Lonchura striata: one gene and its partner. The protein of the gene in region 2 purifies or fractionates together with the protein of the main gene of each other region. This does not show direct contact. Links are inferred from orthologs where the notes say so. Each region holds a gene or a part of one and is shown on either strand. Other genes may lie near its edges.

Region 1 (10,476 bases), on a different chromosome or scaffold from region 2:
AGACCACTGAGAAGTTTTGAAGAAATAAACTTCTCTGAAGCAAACAACACAAACCACAGGCCACCAAGCTGCGAGCAGCACCGTGGCAAAGGAAACAAATGCTGCAGGCTGCTGGGGAGCCACAGGCACTGAGAGCAGCAGCAGAGCTGCAGGAGGCAGGAGCATGGGCAAGGCTGAAGATGGAGCAGCTGCAGCCTTTGTGTCCTGCTGGTGGCAGGGGCAGTGACAACCCCGGGGTTAGAACTCCGTGGGGCTGACACCAGGATGAACAAATAGGCTCTGGGGTTTTTTTTTACACCACTTTGTTTCTTTGCCCTTAGACCACTCTGTGAGAAGTGTTTCTGGGGCCAGAGGTCACACAGTGGTGCCTTTGGAGACAGGCAGCAGCACTTCTGCTCAGCCACCAGTGCCCAGCTCCTCTCCAGCTCTGAATTGAGCTCAGCCCTTCCTGGTGGCCAGCATGGGTTCGGGCTGCCTGCTCTGTGCTGCCCACACCACACCTTCCCAGCCCCAGATCCTGCTGTTTCAGTGCTGGAGCTCCAAAGCCTCATGGAAAGGGCCTTGTGCAGTGCCAAGTGGGCAGCAAAGAGGGATGAGGCTCCCAGATTTCTGCCACGCTGCTGGAGAAGGAATGAGGCACTGACCCCTGATCACAGAGGCTTTGCAGTGCTTTGGCCATGGCCCAGCCTGTTGCACCAAATGAGGAGAGGACCACTCACTAGAAAAATATATATTTACTATCTGTGTTTTTCTCAGGAGGGAATATCTCATGGCAAGGACCCAGCCAAAGACAGGTGCCAGCATGTCACCAGCTGCATCAGGAAAGGGCTGGCAGACCAGGCCTCCATGGAGAACCCTCCTGTGCTGAAAGGGCAGCAGGGGGGCTCGAGATGCTGCTTCCACCTCAAGCCCCACTGCCCTGCGCTGCTGTGTTGCTTAGATTGCACCAGCAGAGCCCGTGGCCACCCCACCATCCCCACCACCATGGGGTGGTCACGCTGCCACCTCTGGGACATCCCTCAGGGCACTGCTGCTGCTGGCATGTTCCTTGCAAGGCAGCTGGGATGAGTTAAATAAAGTGGTTGGGGAGCATTTTCTGGGTTGGGAACGGTCCATAGCTTAACACCAAATGAACACAGCACCTATCCCAGCCCAGACAGCAGGAGCTGCCTGTGGTACAGCAGTCCCACAGTGCTGGGCAGCGCCTGCCATGGCTCAAGGGGAGCAGTTGTTCACACTGCTCATCCCCACACCACTGTCTGTGGTGTCGTGGCACGACCCAGACACCTCCATAACACCCCCCAGCTGTCCCCACCAGGGCTGTGACACCACGGGGAGCAGCAGATCCCACCATCTTCTCAGGCAGTAGTGAGTTCCAGCAGGGTCTTCTGCACGCCACTTTCTGAGTTTGTTGGGGTTTTTGTAAGGAGAATATGTGCAATTCTCTTCAGGCTGATGCAGCACAGCCTGGTGCTTTCCAGGTGTCCGCTTTCAAGCCTTTCCCAGTTGCTTGGATCCCCTCGTGCTGAAGCCCAAACACGGTTTCTGGCTGGGTTTTGTGGTGCCCAGGCAGGACTCAGCCCTCACACATCCGTGTGGGTGTGGGTGTGTGAAGGGGCTGCCAGCCACGCTCCCTTTCAAAGCTTAAACAAACCAAAGAAAGTCTTGGATTCCTCAAAGTTCACCAGGGCGATTTTGGAGACGTTGACGTGCAAGCTGTCCATCTTCCTGAGCTTGAAGAGAGCCCCCAGGTAGCTGTTGCGGGCCCACATCCTCTGGTCCTTGCAGAAGTTGGTGGCTTTGTCCTCCATGAGCACGAGGCTGCCCGGGGAGGCCGGGTTCCTCTTGTACACCACGTGGGACAGGAGGTGGCTGTCACAGGCGCTGCCGCGGAACAGCACCTGCGAGTACACGAAGTAGAGCCCCGCCTCGCTGACCAGCAGCCCCCGGTCCCGGTACTGGATGCCGCTGGTGTAGGCATGGCCAGAGGTGGGCTCCCACTCCAGGGGCAGGTCCCGCTGGGCTGGGTTGCCTGGAAGCCAAAACGAGACCCAACAAAATGGTGGGAAGCACATTGGGTCGGGTGGTTTTTGCTCAGGTCGCACCCCACGTCACGAGGCAGCCGTTCTCCAAGCCTTGTCTGCAGTGTGGGAAGTCCTCCCAGGCCTCACCCCTCACCAGTGCCAGCTCCAGTGCCACCTCCTGCCCTGCACACCCCAAAAACCAAGCCAGAGCCAGGTTTTGCTGAGAAGCATAAGTGAGGGGGAGGGTTCTGTCTGAGGAGCAAATTTCCACTGTCAGAGCAGACATGTCACCCAAGGAGGACAGCAAAGCCTCTGTGGGGTGGGCTCCTCATAACGCCAGCCATGGCACCCCTGAGCCCATCCCAGCTGCCATGGGACCCTCTCTGAGCCCATCCCACTGCCATGGACCCCTGAGCCCATCCCAGCTGCCATGGCACCCCCTGAGCCCATCCCAGCTGCCATGGACCCCTGACCCCATCCCAGCTGCCATGGGACCCCTGACCCCATTCCAGCTGCCATGGCACCATCAGAGGCCATCCCGGCTGCCATGGGACCCTCCCTGAGCCCATCCCACTGCCATGGACCCCTGAGCCCATCCCAGCTGCCATTGCACCCCCTGAGCCCATCCCAGCTGCCATGGACCCCTGAGCCCATCCCAGCTGCCATGGCACCATCAGAGGCCATCCCGGCTGCCATGGCACCCCTGAGCCCATCCCACTGCCCAGCCCTGCTCCCCCAGCACGTACCTGTTACATGGGCTGCCCTCCTCACCTCCTTCCCCTGCCCTGCACAAAGATAGAAAAGACATTGGCCACAAGCTCCACGGAGGAGTCAGCCCAGAGAGCAGGGGGCACCTGAGACCCTGCAAAGCCTCCATCCCACTGCCAGGCGGGGAGTGGAGCTGCCCTCAGGAAGGGAGAGCACAGCTGGGAAAGCTCTGCCTGCCCTGCAGGCCTGAGTTCCCTTTGGAGAGATGGGCCCATTCCAGTGACTCTGTATTTGGAGCCCATCCCACTCCATCCCTTCACTTCTCCTCAACATCTACTTCATCTTCTCTAATTTCAGAAGCAGCCTTTTCTTTTCAGAAGCCAATTAAATTTTCCTCTCCGCTCCCCCTTCTCCTTTACACTATTTCCCTTTATCCAGCTGCCTCAAGAAATTCAGGTTTATTATTTATGTTCAGTCTCTGCTAAAGAAGCCTGTGATCAGAGCACTGGGCATTGCAGTTCAAATGAGAGCTCACCTTCCCCTAAAGAGGAAAATTTATTGGCATAGGAGTTGATAAGAACCAGGACTTCCCTTTCCCAAGAATTTTGCTATTTCAGGGTTTTTTTTATTCAGTATCAGAACAAATTTGAAAATAAATTTTCTAATTAATAAAATTCTCAAGGGGGAAAAGATGAAAACTTTTCAGATCTAGAAAAAGCTGTCTAGAGGACTGAATATCTCTTTCTGACTTGGTCATTTTTGAAAAGGATATCCTCACTTATAACATTAACATGGAATGCAAAAGAAAAGCAATAGTTTGGAAGTTCAAACCACAATTCTTAAATTGTTCCAGCCAAATTGAAACCTCTCTTTTTTTTTTTTTTTTTTTTTTCCCTAAATGAAATCTAGAAGAATTGGCAGGTTCTTGTGGAAAGTTTCAATTTCACTGAGGGTTCCTCCTGCAGGCACGGACTCACCTGTGAGTTTCTGAGAGACTGGAGGGATGTGCTCAGCGCTGGCAGACTGGCAAGAGAGAAGAGGGACAATGGCTTAGACTGAGAGCATGAGCAGCTGGGGACTGCCTTGGACAGTGGCTCAGTCTGGTGTTTTGGCTCCACGGGGAGCTGCAAAGTGCTAAGAAATACACGGGGAGAGAGCTGGCAGCGCTCGGGAGCACAGAGATGTGCTGATAAATCAGTCACCAACCGAGCAGTCCCTCACGGGAACAAGCAGACAGAGAAATGCCACCGAAATGCCCCCATCCTGCCCCTTGGGAACATCTCAGCCCCGTTCCAAGAGTTCCTTTTCCCCGTTTCCCCAGGGACCTGCTCCCAGCCAGGCAGACCTCACCTCTCGGAGTTCATCCACCTCCTTCTCCAGGTGAAAAATCTTAAATATGCTCAGCCCCACTCCGGTGAAGGCCACCAGGATCAGCAAGAACATGACGAGGAAGCCGACACTTCTCCTTTCCCGGTCGCTGCGTGGCTTTGTGCTCCGGTCGGGGACGGGCGGCGGGAAGGGAGCGGCGGGGGCAGCCCCAGCATCGGCACAGCCGTCCACCCAGAAGATCTGCGGGTAATAATTGAGGTTCTGCTGCACGGGCGGCAGCGGCACGGGCCGGACCTGCCTGCCGGGCTCGTCCTTGCGGCGCCCGAGCCCCGCCGGGCCAGCCCCGGGGGCGGCTCTGCCCTGGTACGGCTGCATCCGTGCGGCTGCGAGGGATGCTGCGACTCCGAAAGCCTCGCAGCATCGGCAGCAAAGCCCCTTCCGGCCCGGCTGGGGCTCGGGAGCCACCCTCCTCCCACAGCCCCGCTCCGACAGCCGCAGCCGCTCCCCAAAAGCGCCCGGGCCGCTGCCTCCGCACTCCCGACCGCCGGCGGGTCCGGCCGGCCGCAGGAACGGCAAAGCCTCCGGACCCCGCACCGCACGGGAGGCACGGAGCCGGGGAGCCCCCGGGGCCGGGGATGCGGAGCGGGGGAGCCCCCGGGGCCGGGGATGCGGAGCCGAGCCCGGGGGATGCGGAGCCGAGCCCGGGGGATGCGGGGGTCGCTCCGTTCCTGGCGGCCAGCCCGCAGCTCCGCAGCGCACGGAGCTCTCAAAGCCTCGGAGGGCAGGAAGGCAGGCGGGCAGAGCTGCCCCAGCGGGAGCAGAGCCAGCTCCGCGGCTGCCCTCTCACCTTCCGAGGAAAAATAGAGAGTCCGGACCATGCCGAAAGGAGCAGCACTTTCAAGAGCTCGTTACAATACCCTAATGAAAAGAGACAGGGACATATCCATTTCTCGATTTCCATTCCTCATGTACTGCAGATTTCTAAGTGGGGACAGTGAGATTTCCCCACAGATTTACAGGTGCACACAAGCAATTAGGGACACTTTTCCTTGCACTTTACAGACCCCTGTTGAAGTGTGTATTTTTATGGGGTAGTGTTCAAAAAAAGGAAATGATTAATACAAGAGCAAACCAGAGATTAATTTCTCCTGTGGCTGAAGGAAGCAATCACAATACACAGACTTTGATCTTGAACATCAAAACTGGGATCTGTAAAAGGCACATTCAAACCTTTGTACACTTGTTTCTCTGAAGCAAGGGCTCAGCTTTGCCTGCAACCACACCAATAAATCAGATGTGCTGACAATGTCTTGCACCACCAGACACCCCACTGCTTTTTGGAGATATTCACCAGCCTTTTGCTTCAGCAGCCATCCACATTACAGGTTTCAACAACTCCATCTAGCTCTTCCTCACACTTCAGGGTTTAAGAGACACAAGAGCAGAAGAAATCCAACCCTAACAAGTTCAAGCTTGGTTGTGCCTAGCCTGGCTCAGTCCCCCTGTCTCTGTCCCAGAACAGCCACCCAAGTCCCCATCCCCTCCCACAGCCATTACAAGAGAGGGTCACACTATGGCTTTGCCTGGAGAGGATCCATTCCACATTTTTCTGACACTGTGTTAATGCCAACAGCTTGTTGAGGTGGGACTGAGGAGAGAGTAGCAGTTTCCCTTAAATGTCACTAGTATTCTTACTCCACACCCACTGCTTCCCGCTTTCACAAAGATGTTTTTTAAAGGGAGGGTGAGAGGGAGAGACAAGGAAACCAACTGAAGCAATTTCAGCTGCACCTTCTTTTTTGGATGCCCAGATGAAGAGCCCAAGATCCTGCTAACACCCCATGTGGTGGCAAACCAAAGGTTGGGGCTGTTTTACCATCAAAAATGCTTAGTGCACAAAATGCTTTCAGGGACCTCTCCCTCTGCTGGCCCTGCTGTCACTCTCCGTTTTCCTGCCACCCCCTTCAGACACCACAAGATGCCAGACACTGACTGGGAGGTGGTGCCAGGCAGGGCTGTGTCTGCAGAGCACATCAGAATCCCAGAGCCACAGGATGGCTGGGGGTGGAAGGGACCTCTGGAAATCCTCTAGTCCAAAAAAGAAAGCAGGTTGTGGTGCCTGCAGGCTCTGTGTTCTGCTGGCTTCAATGCTCAAATGACACAGGATATGAACAGGACCACTGAAATAATGGCAGGACAATTTGCTGTAGGTGGGCACTTCAGGCACGTGAATTTTGCTAGAAGGCCTAGAGCCAGAATTTAGACAAGGCTGAGGCCATCCTAACAAGGACAGCTGGGCAGGAAAACAGGGCATAAAGGAGGACAAAAGGGGTGTCAGATTTGCCTCCACCACCCTATCCCCCTCTTGAACCTGTCTGTACACCCTGTTTCCAGCAGCCCTGTTACATCACTTGAACATGAAGGAATATTTTCCAATGGAAGCACCTTCCATAGCCCTCACCAGAAATTGTTCCCCTTTACCAAACCAACAAAAACATTACACAGACTGCAAAAGAGGATTTGCTCAGAAGAACACTCTCCTTCCCCAATTCACCCGCAGAGGAGAGGTGGGAACTCTTATTAACAAGACACACAATTATGTTAAAGTTGATGGCAGAGAATCAGCCAGCAGCTAAGAGTTTGTATCAGCAGAATTTAGGGACCTGCCTGAAACAGCCCGAAGAAAGCAGGACTTGAACAATGATCCAGATCTAATACTTGACAGAAAATAAACCCTGAAACTCAAAACAAAAACTGAAGTGTGAACCTCTGTGTAGGAGAGGCTCTCACTGTGTTTTGGACAGTCTCTCTGGAAGCAATTAACAACTATTTCCTATTACACTAATGACTAGTGGAAATGGTAAAAAGCAGCTCTTGAAAGCCGCAGGAAGTGCACCCAAGAGCAACTGGGAAAGTTGAGAATCATTCACATTCAAAAACACAGGATTCAACATCATTAGGACAGAGAATTGAATCAGAAGAAAACAAGGCAAGGAACAAAGACTGAAGATCAAGCTCTTTGGGTAGAAAACAATGTGCTAGAAAGAAAACAAGTCTGAAGCTGAGAGGCACCTCAGCTGGACATGAGCTTCCAGCAGGGAAAGCCCACAGGGAAAGCTCCCGTGAGAGCTCACACACAGCTCTGGACAGCACAGACACTCCTGGAATCACTTCACAAGTCTTTGTTCAACTCCAGAGAGGCTCTGGAAGAAGTTGCAGGAACTGTTGGACAGAAAGGAGGTTCAAATTTGTCTGTTCAAGAGCAGATTGGCCGGGAGGGATGGACAGCGTGTGGAAAACCTGTAAAGAGAGGGATGATTTCCAGCTCTTAAATCTCACAGGATAAAAAAGCTTCCCAAGGAGCCACGAGTTGTGAGCCAAATCTGAAGGAGTTTGAACGAAAAGATGGATTTTTGACTGAACACTGGTATGAATGCTTGTGAGAGCTGCCTTCAAAGGGAGTGGGCCTCCATCTGCTGAAGCCTCAGAGGGGTGTGGAAGATAGCAGAACTCACCCAGCCTTTGCAGTTAGCACCAACATCTTCATGTTGTTTTCTTTATTCTGTGTTTATTAACAGTTTGGTTTCTCAAACACAGGTGATGCTCTTCATTTCCTCAACAACTGCTCTCCTTGCAAGGAGCATTTGTTGCACATATAAGCCATGACAAGGACATTCAGATATTCACACACAAGAACAGGTTTTCAAGTCCACTGATAACAGCTCTGCCCTGGCATTACAGTGCTTAACGCATCCCTCTTCCAGTGAGCAAGGTGCTCTGTCCCCTCCTTCACCCTGATTCCAACAAGCAGCCAGCAGCCCTGGATTCAGCAAGACAGGGTGAGAGAAAACACATGGGCCCGAAGCAGATGAGAACAAGAGGAGTACCTAAAATATTACTCTGCTGCTTTCATTTCTTCTGTGCTTGTGGTGAGAGCAGGGAAATGAGGTATAGTGGTTATGAGGTCAGGGGATCTATTCTGAGAAACAGCAGCAGGGTCATTCCATGGTGCCACAGGGCAAAACAGAACAAGGTGCTGTGGCCAGCTGTGAGGAAGACCAAGAGAAGTGCAGGTGTTGAGTCCCTGTCCCCGCAGCTGAAGGGAGGACAGACATTGCCAAGGGTCTCATTCCCAAGCCCTTCTGCAGGGTCTGTGCCCTGCCCCAGCCTCTGGGCACAAAGCCAGCCCCAGCCCTGGCAAACAGCAGCTGGCTCTGCTGGCCAGGGGGGCTTGCCTGGTGCTTGACAGGTTTATTTCTTCTTGGGAGCAGCCAGCCTCAGCCCATTCAAACAAAACGGTAACTGTGGCATTACAACTCACAGAAGCTGCTTCCAGTTATTTTTCTGGGAAAAGAGAAGCAGCAGACAGGGGCTGCTGTTTGCTGCGAGCTCACAGAGGGCACCGCAGCTGGACGGAGGCTCCAACCACATCTAACAGGGCAGAAAAACTGGCCCCAAGGTGGCAAACGTTTCTGTTCCATCTCTAGGTCCACGAGGGGCAGAGCTCAGCTCCTCTGCATCGCCTCCCAAAAGCTGCCCTGCTGCGTGGGAGCTCCTGGTGACTCAGTGGAAAGCAGCAGAGCAAGGGCCAGCCCCTGTTCAGGACCAGAGAGCAGCAAGGCAGCAGGAGCCTCCTTGGAAGCTTCTTCCAAATCCATTCTGCTTAAATTGGAGAAGGGCTGTCAAGGTGAGTGAGCTTCCGCACTGAGCTGTCACCTGTGGGAAGAGGCCCTGGAGCTGTCACCAAGCCCAGCAGCAGCTGCTGTTGGACACTCAGGGTTTCCAGGAGATGAGACACCCCACAGCACCCCGTGGGCAGGGCTCTCCACTTCTCTGTTCCAAATGAAGTGGAACATTTTTGTACCTCACAAAGCAAAACCTGCTAAGCTGTTCCACCTCGTGCTGTAACTTGGCAAAAGCAGAAGCCACACACCACCTCAGATCTGAGTTTTCTGCTTACATCACCACACAGGCTGGTAGGGTCTGCATCTTCAAGAAAGCCTGGATTTCCACTGATATTGAATGTATATGAACACCTTACTTTGGCAAACACAGCAATGCACTTACACCAGGTGTGTTTGCACCCATCCACCCTCACATGGAAACCTTCACAGGACCTGCCCAAGGACTGAGGGACACCATCCTCACTCCAGCACACACTTTGCTTTTAGGTGTTTTACACCAACAGCTGTCCAACCTTTGCTTGCAATAATGAGACAGTCACACAGGAATTTCTGATGTATAAACTGTCTTCATTAGAAATTATTATTTCTACATAAAGTTAATAACCAATTTAAGAGACTTGATTCCATAGAACCAAATTTTGAAAGCAAGATTGCATGACATTATTAAAACTGAAAGTAAAAAATTACTCAAGAGCCCACATGAAAGGAAAACATTAGGCAATCTCTTACCTGATGGTAATTTTTTTAAAGGAAGTTAAAAGATTACTAAAAGCAGCGTGGCAGTAGCAGGTGGAATCTGTGGTTCAATCTCCAATTTCTTACCAGAACACACTCTCAAGTCTGCAAAACCATAATTGGGCCAGTAGGTTCCTTCGGATGCTTTATTTCCATGGCACACTGCCCACGTGTTCATTACAGGACAAGCTTTATCACTGGTACCTTTCCACAGAATGCATCAATTCCTTAGACCTAAGTCAGGCCCAGTATAGAGGGAGCAGGGTATTAAGGGACCAGATTAGAATTACATTTGGTTTTACATCTGCAATTGTCAACTTGGAAATCTGAATATGTGATTGGGATTTCAACATGCAGTCCCATTTATCAGCACAGGATAGAGCTGGGAGTTCTCTAGTTCATAGCCAGTGTCTGCTTTAAGAAGGGCTGTTTAAGAATTCGGTCATGTCCAGCTTCAGGTAATTCCTACTGAAAACCCCTGGGCAATAAAGGTATACACACTTCTAACAAGTGACATAACAAGAGGAAGGAGTAAATAAAAGAAACCCACACTTCCCCACCCCCCAAAACACCCTGCACACTCCTCCCTCAGCAAACTCCACATTCAATTATATTTTTAAATCCTAGTTCTGTGATGAAGCAGAGTCCTGAGACACTCAAGTGAAAACTCAGTGCTGGGGAGGTCTCCTCTGACAAGCAGATGCTGGCCAGCCTGTGAATCTGGCATTTGGCTGCACAAATCCTGCTGGGCTTGACAGAAATAAGTCAGGGGGGAGGGACCAATAAGGGGCAAACTTCAAGCTGAAAACTCTGGTTTGAGATAATACTCTGGTTTGAGATAATGACTCTCTTTCCTTTCAGGGCCTCCTGTACCCTTCATAAGCCTTAGCTCTGAGTAGCAAGAAGTCATTTCATGCAGTTCTTCTCACAGTGTACCACCATGTGCAGGGATGCCCCAGGACAAGGTGTGAACTGACTGCTGGAAACCTCTCCAG
Region 2 (10,080 bases):
GCACTATAAGTATGTAATGTACTGTGATCAACACCAAGTGCTCCTGATTTTTAATTATTGTGATAAAATAAACTACTTAGTTTCAATAGAAAAACACTCCTAAGTACTGTAACTCAATATAGATGAGATTGAGATTTGGTGTACCTTGGTTTAATTACATCTTGCTTCTTTCAGATGTGTTGGAAAAGACCTTCAGAGGCTTAGGCTATGATGTTCATTGTCACAGGTATTTAAATATGAACTCCATGAATCAAAAATTGCTTGAAGTTGCAAGGTGGCAGAAGCACAAATATTGTGACAGCTTCGTTTGCATATTGGTCAGCCGTGGAAACTCTCAGAGCATCTTCTGTACGGACCACACCTTTTCTGGATTCCCTTTGGAACAAATAAAGAAATACTTTACAGCAGACTCATGTCCTGGACTCCTAGGAAAACCGAAGCTTTTTTTTATTCAGAGCTATGTTGTGCCAGAAAATGAGCAAGAATATACCAGTCTGTCAGAAGTTGATGGGAATGCTGAGAATATCAGTTCTAAAGTCACGATTCCCCAAGCAGCAGACATCTTTTGGAGTCATTGCAAAGTGGATGTGTCTAAACTAGAACGATCCTCAACTTCATCCTCATATTATCTGCGTTGTCTGGCTGAGCTACTCCATAATCCTTATAAAAGGTAAATTAAAGTAAGAGTAAAAAAAATCATCCTTTTTCTATGCTAGCTTATTTTCATGGAGAATGAGAAACCTTAAATTTCAAACCATCTGGCCCTGAAATATGTTTTCTTGCAGTGTCATAGTCAAAAGACAAGTATCCTCATAAAATTGTGTAGAAAGGTAGCCTAAACTAGGAATGAAATTTCTGATTTTGCAGTATAAAGTTAAAGTGTGTTAAGGCATTGGGGTTTGCAGAGTAAGAAGGGAAGAACCTGTCCTAGATAATGTATGTCAGTGCTTTAGATGGGATTGGAAATCTTCCTTCTCCAAGATAAACAGGCTTCTGTTAAATTGAGGATTGCCATGTACCATTAAGATGAGCTGTGCTTGCAAATGTAAACAGTCAGTACTTAAGTTCAGGACAAAGGCAGTAGAGAGGGAAGGATTTTCTACATTTCCAAATTTAATTAACCATTTTTTCACAGAGCCAATTGATTTCCAATAGGTAATCTTGAATTTAAACTGACAGAAAACTTTTGTCTATTAAAGAGATCCAAACGAATCTGTGCAAAACTCAGAGGCATTTGGATATATAACTTAGCAACAAAGATTTTATAACTTACCAACAAAGTTTTTATTTATATAGCTGATCTACCAGGGAGCTAACAACTGTTATTCAAGGTAGTTACAGTGCTAACATTTAGTACCTTTTTACAAGCCCTAAAGCCCTGTCATGAAACCACAGATCATCATGTCAGCATAATCAATGTCACAGCAATGATTTGGGTCATAAAAGTTTGTCTCAAAATTTGTGTGTGTGTACAGCCTTGTGTGTTAGAGATTTTACCTCTGCAGTAGAGACTGAAATTACAAACTTTCTCCATGCTGAGTCTGAAGTTATCTTCTCTCTTGTGAATTCTTAAATGGTGTCTTGCTTCATTCTCTAATGGAATGCTTTTGATTTTTTTGCTGCAGGAAACGCTGTATATTGGCTATCCATATGGAACTGAACAAAAAAGTTTATGATGGGAATATGACCGTTGACCCAAGCCAACAATACTCACTGCTGCTCCAGCACACACTGAGGAAGAAACTTTTTTTCCCCACTTAACTGCTGTTAGAAAGTACATATCTGAAATTATTAACAAGAAGTACCCAGTAATGCCAGAACTTTGCTGACAAATTCTGGCTTGCATGCCTCTATAGACTGTCAAAACAGAAGGGAGAGAGAGATCTCCCCCTTTTCAGTAATCAGGATTCCATACTTTTATTTATGTGTTATTTCATGTATATCAAAAGTGCCTGTTGCTGCCAAACACAGGAATTTACAAGCATTTTAGTGTGCTAAGACACTAGATTTTGTATTTTAATACTGTAGTCTCTGAAAGCTTGGTTGAGAATAGTAGCTATTGTATAGCAGTGCAACATACCTTGTTACTGAATACCCCGGGTAAACAGAGTGTAAAGAGATCTAAACTGTATAGCTGTTGGGTTTTCCAAGAAAAAACAAAATATTTTTATTGCTTCATTTGTAGTTTTTAACATACCTTCTAGCAGTTAATACTTAAATAATAAAAAGCCAGCCCAAACCACTGAAACACATTGATTACTTTCCCCTGCACCTAGTAGTGGCAAATGTCTGAGGAAAGCATTCCTACCCAGTAATGCCAGATCTTTGCTAACAAGTTCTGGCTTGCATGCCTCTATAGACTGGCAAAACAGAAGGGAGAGAAAGATGGTCTTTTCAATAATCTGGATTCCATCTGTTTGCTGTATTAAAGATTGCATTGTTAGAACTGTCCACAGCACATGGGGGTTCTGTGTTAATAAATGAGACAGTCTGCCATCTTTGGGCCAAGTATGTTTTCTGCTGATGCAAAATGAGTCTACATGTGACAGGACATTACAGTAATCTGCCACACAGTTAAAAAAATGTGAGATTTTGGCAGATGTCTTGTGGAAGCTGAAACATGATTCACACTCATTGTACCAGGCATAGTTGTAAAAAGAGACTTTAAAATATTTCAACTTAAATGTAGTATGTAGCAGCCATGGGCCTTTAAAACTGGATTATGTTAAACACCCCGCCCTTACCGCATTTGCTTGTGAAAAAGAATATGCCTCTATTAACTCATTTTTTTCCCAAGTGCTCTTGTTCTTGTGAAAAAAGAAAAGGGAAAATTGTCCTAATTACAAAGCTTTTTCTCCAATGTAGCAGTTGCTTAACTAAAAGTTAACTGCCTTAAAGTTCAGTTAGCCTACTTGTATAACAGTATAACCTGGATGGGTTGTATTGAAGTTTATTGTCACTGAACTTAGTGACAATAAAGTAGGCCACTTGTAAATATTTAATTTTTACTCCTAATATACTCCTATGCGGGAAAATAATTCAAGGTCCTGCTGTGCTTTGCTTGGTTTCTGTTTAAATTTTTAATGGAAAAAAGGAAGGATACAGAATGACAGATGTGGAATCTTAGGAGGTACTTCCTCTGGTGGTTGGTAGATAAACTAAATGGTAAAACAAATGTTTCCTGTGCTTGTAGAAATATGCTGTCATTTCAAATTTCATATATCTAAGTAATATTAATATATGTGATCTTCTTCACAGATTAACTTCACTTTCCCATTTCCTTTACTAGCTTTTGCATTTGACAAGCACTTCTGCTACCCCATAGACAACCAAAAGCAGAGAGAATGGAATCAACAGGAGGCAGATGAGGAAAAGAAATGTGAAAATTTTAAGCAGGAACAAGAAGGGGAATGGTAGGGAGCATCAAGAGAAGAACAAGTAGATGATTTGGATGAGAAATACAGTATCAATATTGGAAGGAGAAGAAAACGGGAAAAAGGAAGTGAGAATAATAGTGGTTGTCTTTACAGACTCTAATGATGTGGTGAGTTGGTTGATGTTTTGTGGGCTGGTTGGTTGGGGGGTTTAGAGTGATGCTAAATGCAACTGTTTACTTAAGATATTAGTAGTAGAATAGATTCTGCTTTTACAGTTTTGTGACAAATTTGGTTTGGGGGTTAAGAAGTATATATGTTCTTTGCCTTACTGCAAGACAGTAAGTCCATGTCCCTTTCATTAATAAATTATGCAGAAATGCTGTTTTGAAAACTAGAGGCTCATGTAATTAACCCTTTCAGTGGAAAAGGAAGGGACACTGTGCATGGCTGCTTGGTTGGAAGTGGTTATAATCCTCTAGAGTTGTGGGGATAGACATGTATTGTGCAGCATTCATGGGTGTCAGATACTGATTTTTTACACTGATCCTCTGTAGATTCCCAAACGTAGCCATACGCAATCTATAATCATTCATCTAAGCAGTATTTATTGCCTTGGCACCTCTTTCAAGTGTGGTGTTCAAGCAAGCTGATCCCCTGTACCTGCTGCATAGTGAGTATTTATGCAGGACTTCTGTGATGGCTCTTCTGTCACTTCTCCCATAGCTTATAGGATCACAGACTCATAGAATAAGCTGAGTTAGAAGGGACCCATCAGGATCATAGAGTCCAACTCCTGGCCCTGCACAGGACACCCCAAGAATCCCGCCATGTGCCTAAGAGTGTTCTCCAAAAGCTTCTTCAGCTCTGTCAGGGTTGGTGCTGTGACCACTTCCCTGGGGAGCCTGTTCCAGTGCCCAGCCACCCTCTGGATGAAGAATTGAAGAACCTCTTCCTAAATTCTACCCTAACCCTCCCGTGACACAGTTTCATTTCTCAAGTCCTGTCAGTGGTCACCAGAGACAAGTGGTTGATACCTCTGCCCCTTTGCTTCCCTTCATGAGGATGTTGAAGACTGCAGTGAGGTCTCCCCTCTTCCTCCCCAGGCTGAACAAGCCAAGTGAGCTCAACCCCTCCTCAGAGGGCCTCCACTCCAAAACCCTTACCAGGTTTCTGTGTCCCTCCATACACATGAGGGGTCCTGTCTCTTCTTGCTGTAGTGCACACATAAAATTTGAGTCTAGAAACGGATGCGGGGTGTGGACTGCATCAAGCTGTCCCTGTACTGCAGGTAGTGAAATGATCTCAGGTTAAATGATCCTTTAGCCAAAAGAAAAAGGGGGAGAGAATTTTGGATCCATCATGAGTTTAAGGTGTTAGCACAGGAACATAGAGAAAGCAGAAAGCAAACACTAGTAACACTTAAATCTTCAATACAGCTGGTGAAATTTCGTGGTCTTGGACTGCCAAAATGTCTAATTTTCAGAACATACTGTTGGAGGAGATAAAACAAGTTACGCTGCTCCTGCATTGTCAGAGGTTGGAATAAGGCTGTCAGAGTCAATGCTTTGGCACTTAATTACAGTTTTGGTTTCTGATAACTGGAAGAAAATTTCTTGTAGTTCTGTATGTGCTCCATATATAGAAGGTGATGTCTTTAAGTGGCTCAGAAGCTGTATGCAAGAGGCAAGAGATTCAGTGGTGTTTTGTACCAGACTTGAGTTGCATGGTTTTTCTCAGCCACCTACACTGATGTGGCTGAGCCGTAAATTGAGCTCATTATCCAAAATAGAATTTATATTCAAGAGGATGTTACTGTGGTATAACTTGTAGATGGAGCATGTTGTATGGCTGATCTCCCCTTTCAACTCTGCATAAGAAGTAACAGTGGCTCCTATTACATATACCTGAGTCAGAGAAGCTTTTTATGGGAGTTTCTGAGAATTATTTTCTGTTTTCCAGAGTTTTAAGTTTCTGACATGCAGAACAGTATTGCTGAGGAGTATTGCTGTCTGTGTGGTTGATCTATATTCAATTTAAATTAAATCTCCTGTACTGAATTATTTGACAGCTTTTCTGTGGCTGGTTTAAATTATGTCTATTTTTCAGCTTCTGTATTAGAAACAATAATAAGACACTATGACTGGATACAAATGCTCAGTTTCATGGTGATATTCTGAATAAAATTTCTGTATGCAGTCAGACTGATTGTCCCTGTCTCCCTCTAGGCCATAGGATAACTCTGAAATTCTTGGTCTGTTTATCTTGCAGACCTATATAACTTGTTAAATTAGGCTGTGAAGTTTACAGTTCTATAAAAACGAGCTGACATAATAAAGGACAGCAAGACTTACAGTTTCAGCAGGTAACTCAGCTGCTCTCGGTGTGTTGGACAACTTTTGGCATGAACAAGGAGACACTTTTCATCCTGCCTCCACTGACGCGAGGTTGTGGGGGATACAGATGCTGAAGGCCCCAAGGAGCCTGCACTGAGCAGAGTCTGCTCACCTTCCTCCTCCTCCCTCTACTGCTGCGGACACGGACACGCAGCCCCACGTACAAATGGTGTTGCAGCCCTCTCCCGCAAGCGCTCCTCTTCAAGCTTCCTTCCAGCGGGAAACAAACATTCAAATAATGTGCCTAAAACGTTCGAGGCCTTTTTGCGATGTAGCCTGCTTTAACATGGCTTGGCAGCAAAAGCGAGGCGAATTACGGGTCACGTCTTACACTTCGTACCCCGGGCGCTGCCTGAAGGCTTTTCCCGTTCCCGGGCGCGGCAGGGCGGGAGGGGGCGGTGCCGCCGCTCCTGGTGGAAGCCTCGCGGGCCCTGGCAGCCGCGGCCCGCTCCTTCCCTCGCACTCCCCACTCCCACATTCCGCCCTGCTGCTGGCGCTGCCTCCCGCCGCCTGCTCGGGCAGAGCCGGGACACGCCTCCCCCGCCCGCGGCGAGCCGCAGAAGGGCCCGCGCAGGGAGCCGCGAGCCGCCGGCACGGCTAGCTGCCGGGAGAGGGATCGGGACTGGAACTCGTGTGAGAGGTACCAGAGCGTGGGGCTGAAGGGGAGAGGGCTCGCAGGAAGGCTCCGTCGCTCGCGTTGTGCGGTGGCTCCCGGCTGCGCGCTCCTCGGGGCGCTCCTGCCCACGTGCGCCGGCGGGCCCGGCTGCGGTTCGCGCGCTCCGCCTTGCCTCGGGCTTAACCCGCGGGGCACTGCTCCGGCCAGATACAAAGCTTAAAGCAAAGGTAATTTTACAATTCCTATCCTGCTTATTTCATACGATTTTCCTTTTCTGAGGCGATATCTGAAAGCATACATCAGAGATGCGGACTGGTTACTTTTCTGTGTCGATGCCCCGAGGCAGCTGTGGATATGCGGGTGAGCCGCTCCAAGCCTGGGCAGCGAGCAGATCCTGCACTGATTGTGCTCCCCCTTGTAGAAACCTTTGCTTCTAATTGCTATAAGCAAAAAATTGAAGATCTACCAGTTAGAAGGCACTGGAGCACCTTCTTATCTATTTAACCTTCCACGGGCAGAATTGAACTGCCTAGGCTCCATGGAAGAAGTCGGTGTAGTAGAAAGTCGATTAGTCTCTGTTAAACCTGAGTAAGAGAGAGTTGCTTGTGCAGAGCCTATTTAGACTGAGCATTGAGTGCTATTACATTTTAACTGCCAGTTACTTGTAAGGGAGGCTTATAAGGGGTTTTCTATGCCAACTGTCAAATACAATCCGGAAGCAAATTACAGCTGGGAGTGGATGGTTATTCCACAGCTTCTGTTTGGGTGTCAGCCTTGTAACAGAGGAACACCTTCCTGGTACAGCCAGAGAACAAGCTCTTGGACTGCAGATCAAGGAATATGCACAAACTACTGTGCTGTCTCCATTAATAGTTGTAATAAGTTACTGCAGGGACTCTTCCCCATTACAACAGAAAGACGCAAAGATCTGAATGTGGAAGATGTTCAAAAGAAAAGAAGATTCAGACCTTGAGGTCATCTTGCACAGTTTTTTGCTCAGAGCAGGGCTAACTTCAATTATAGACCGGGTTGTTTAGAGCTTCTGCCAGATCTGGTCTTTCTGTGTTCTGTGTTTAGACAAGGAAGTAAATTTCAAATTTATTTAAAACCTTTATTTATTAAAAGATAATTCAGGGCTTCCAAACAACCATTGGATAAAATTTTAGTAGAAGGATTGCTGTATTGAAGATTTAAGTGTTACTAGTGTTTGCTTTCTGCTTTCAGTCAGAGAGAAGCTGTTTCAGCTGTTGGTTCCAGCAACATGGAGAATAATATCAGCTTGAAGTTCCATCAGCAGCTTTTTCTTATTAGTGAAAGTCTGGTGACTGAAGATGTAGCAGCTTTAAAATTTCTCTGTACTGACTTGCTCCACCTCAGTAGACTAGAAGGTGTGAAGTTAGCAACAGACATCTTCAAGCTCCTTATGGCTCAAGAATATCTGAATGCAGAAGATACTTTCCTACTAGCTGAACTCTTATATAGAATTAGATGTCACTCCTTGCTCAAGAAAATTGGTTACACCAAGGAGAAAGTACAAGAACATCTGAGTGAGAAGGGAAGAATATCTCCATACAGGTAAGCTTGCAGTGGAATTCTCTTCCCTCCATTACTGCTATCTATGCCATACTGTTTTCTTTTCCATTTTTAAATTCTTAGATTGCCTTTGGTTTTTATGCCATCTTCTGTTCCACTTTTATCTCACTCTGTCTCTGTTACAGGCAGATGCTGTATGAATTGGCAGAGAACATCACCAGTGACATGTTGAAGGAAATAATTTTCCTCCTGCAAAACCATCTTCCAAAGGGATGGATAATTCCTGTATGTGAGGAGTCAAATGAGCCAAATGGTGGGAAGGGAAGAAGGAAGGCAGGAAATAGAAGAAAAAGTGTGAGCAGTGTTTGGCAGAATAGAGCATAATATGCAACTAGGCTGGTTGTATTCATAGGGATAGCAGGAAGGAAGATGTTGACAGGCAAGAGTAGAATTTGGTCCCTCGTGCTAAGGTCAGTCACTGACAGTTCACTGTCTAGCATCAGAGTATAAAAAGGTGACAAATCAAATCTTTGCCCTGCTTGAGCCATATGCAAGGGAGATTGATGTCCATATGTCATTGGTAGTTTCACAGCATTGAAGCCTTCTTGAAGCCACGAGCCATTAATACGGTTTGGGTGAATCTGTTTAAACAAGACCATACCAAATAAAAACACAACCAGTGGCTTCCATGAAGCAACATTTCTGCTGTAATGGTGATGTAAAATTGACTGGTCCTTGTTGGTAGGGAGCAAAGCAGATAATAATGTGATTGTTTGAGACAGGGCTGAGAGGCAAGCTTTGATTTCTAAAGAACAATAATTATATTTTACTCTCTCCTTTTGGCTGTCAGTCTGCTTTGGATTTGCTGACTTTATTGGAAAAGCAGGGCCTTTTAACTACAGACAATGTAAAGATACTGGAGGAGGTCTGTATGACTGTTTCACCTGATCTCCTGGAGACAATAAACTGCTACAAAAAGGGAAAAGGTGAGAAATTGATTGTCTAGGAGCAGGTTTGCTAAAATGCAGGAAGTACTATGGGTCTGGGCTACTGAACTTAAGGTCATATGTGTGTATTGCTAAATGGGAGCTAGAGTGGCATAAATCTGGCATAACAACTCCAAGCCTGCATAATTTCCTAGCTGAATCCCTGAAATAAAGGGATGTGCTGGAATATCTGAGCAACCCAGAGCACATACAGAACAGGGTGGGAAACTGAAAATCTGCTGATAGTTATGTCTCATTTGTCCATTTCCCCACTAATAGTATTGAGATGATGACAACTGTCCTGTAAAAGGCACTTGGGGATCTGTGAATGTGAATCTGGCAAGACACACTGTGTGGGTTTATGTGTGTCTGATACATGGGCTATGAGCAAACAAATTATTTATGGTTTTATATTTTTAAAAAATAGATTTATTATTGATTAATGAGAAAAATTGACAACTTCAGTAGTAAGAAGGCATATTCTTTTTAAATACTGGTAATTTCTAAGATGATTTCCAGATGAAAAATTTATTTGAATGTCTTGGAGAATTTATCCTTGTACCATGGGTATCTTTAATTTGCAGTATCGATACAAATAGAAGCCTTGCCTTTGTTACAAAAATACATCTAATAAAAATAAGCAAAAAATAGATCTAGAATATCAGAATAGATCTATTGAACATGACCATGCTATTTTGTATGGAATAATTATTTCTTTCAGTGAAAGAGTATTTCAAATACAAAAAGTGATGTATTGTAGCTAAACTCCTTTTTGTTGCATCCACAAATATTGGATTTATCTTCATAAATACCTATGCTGGGGTTTTTTCTAGATAACAAGAAAACTAATTTTACACAAAGCTTCTCTGAGCTAAACCTGGAGCTGCGTGGAGAATTCAGCAATGTAGAAAATGAACCCAAGGTTTGAGACAATCTCTTAAATCCTTTTTGAATACCTGCGGGTGTGAGGTTTTCATCCTCCCTTGAATGACATTTATCATGCAAGGGCTTGTGAAATATCAGGCTCATAAAGTTTCTTGAGTTGACTGATAAATTTGAATGTTTCAAAGAATATTTTAACCTTGGAGGCCAGAGATTTAGCAATATTGAAAGGTATCTTGTAGGCAAAATGGACATAATACCTCTGAAGTGATTCACACATCAGTGTTTATCTT

Evidence for each region. The genes of interacting proteins can lie anywhere in the genome.
Region 1: the proteins of caspase-10 (region 2) and FASLG purify together in Homo sapiens (co-immunoprecipitation; 3 studies listed by BioGRID and IntAct, with this or other methods). This does not show direct contact. The link is inferred for Lonchura striata from reciprocal best matches to the Homo sapiens genes CASP10 and FASLG.

What each region holds. Positions count from the first base shown.
Region 1 is NC_134611.1:357,267-367,742, forward strand, and holds FASLG (tumor necrosis factor ligand superfamily member 6), read right to left. Parts: upstream 4,489-10,476; 5' UTR 4,437-4,488; coding exon 4,083-4,436; intron 3,756-4,082; coding exon 3,710-3,755; intron 3,627-3,709; coding exon 3,598-3,626; intron 2,796-3,597; coding exon 2,771-2,795; intron 2,033-2,770; coding exon 1,638-2,032; downstream 1-1,637. UniProt on the Homo sapiens protein: Cytokine that binds to TNFRSF6/FAS, a receptor that transduces the apoptotic signal into cells. Involved in cytotoxic T-cell-mediated apoptosis, natural killer cell-mediated apoptosis and in T-cell development.
Region 2 is NC_134610.1:27,086,762-27,096,841, reverse strand, and holds the start of caspase-10, read left to right. Parts: upstream 1-6,293; 5' UTR 6,294-6,613; intron 6,614-7,610; 5' UTR 7,611-7,647; coding exon 7,648-7,961; intron 7,962-8,104; coding exon 8,105-8,204; intron 8,205-8,769; coding exon 8,770-8,905; intron 8,906-9,738; coding exon 9,739-9,827; intron 9,828-10,080. UniProt on the Homo sapiens protein: Involved in the activation cascade of caspases responsible for apoptosis execution. Recruited to both Fas- and TNFR-1 receptors in a FADD dependent manner. May participate in the granzyme B apoptotic pathways.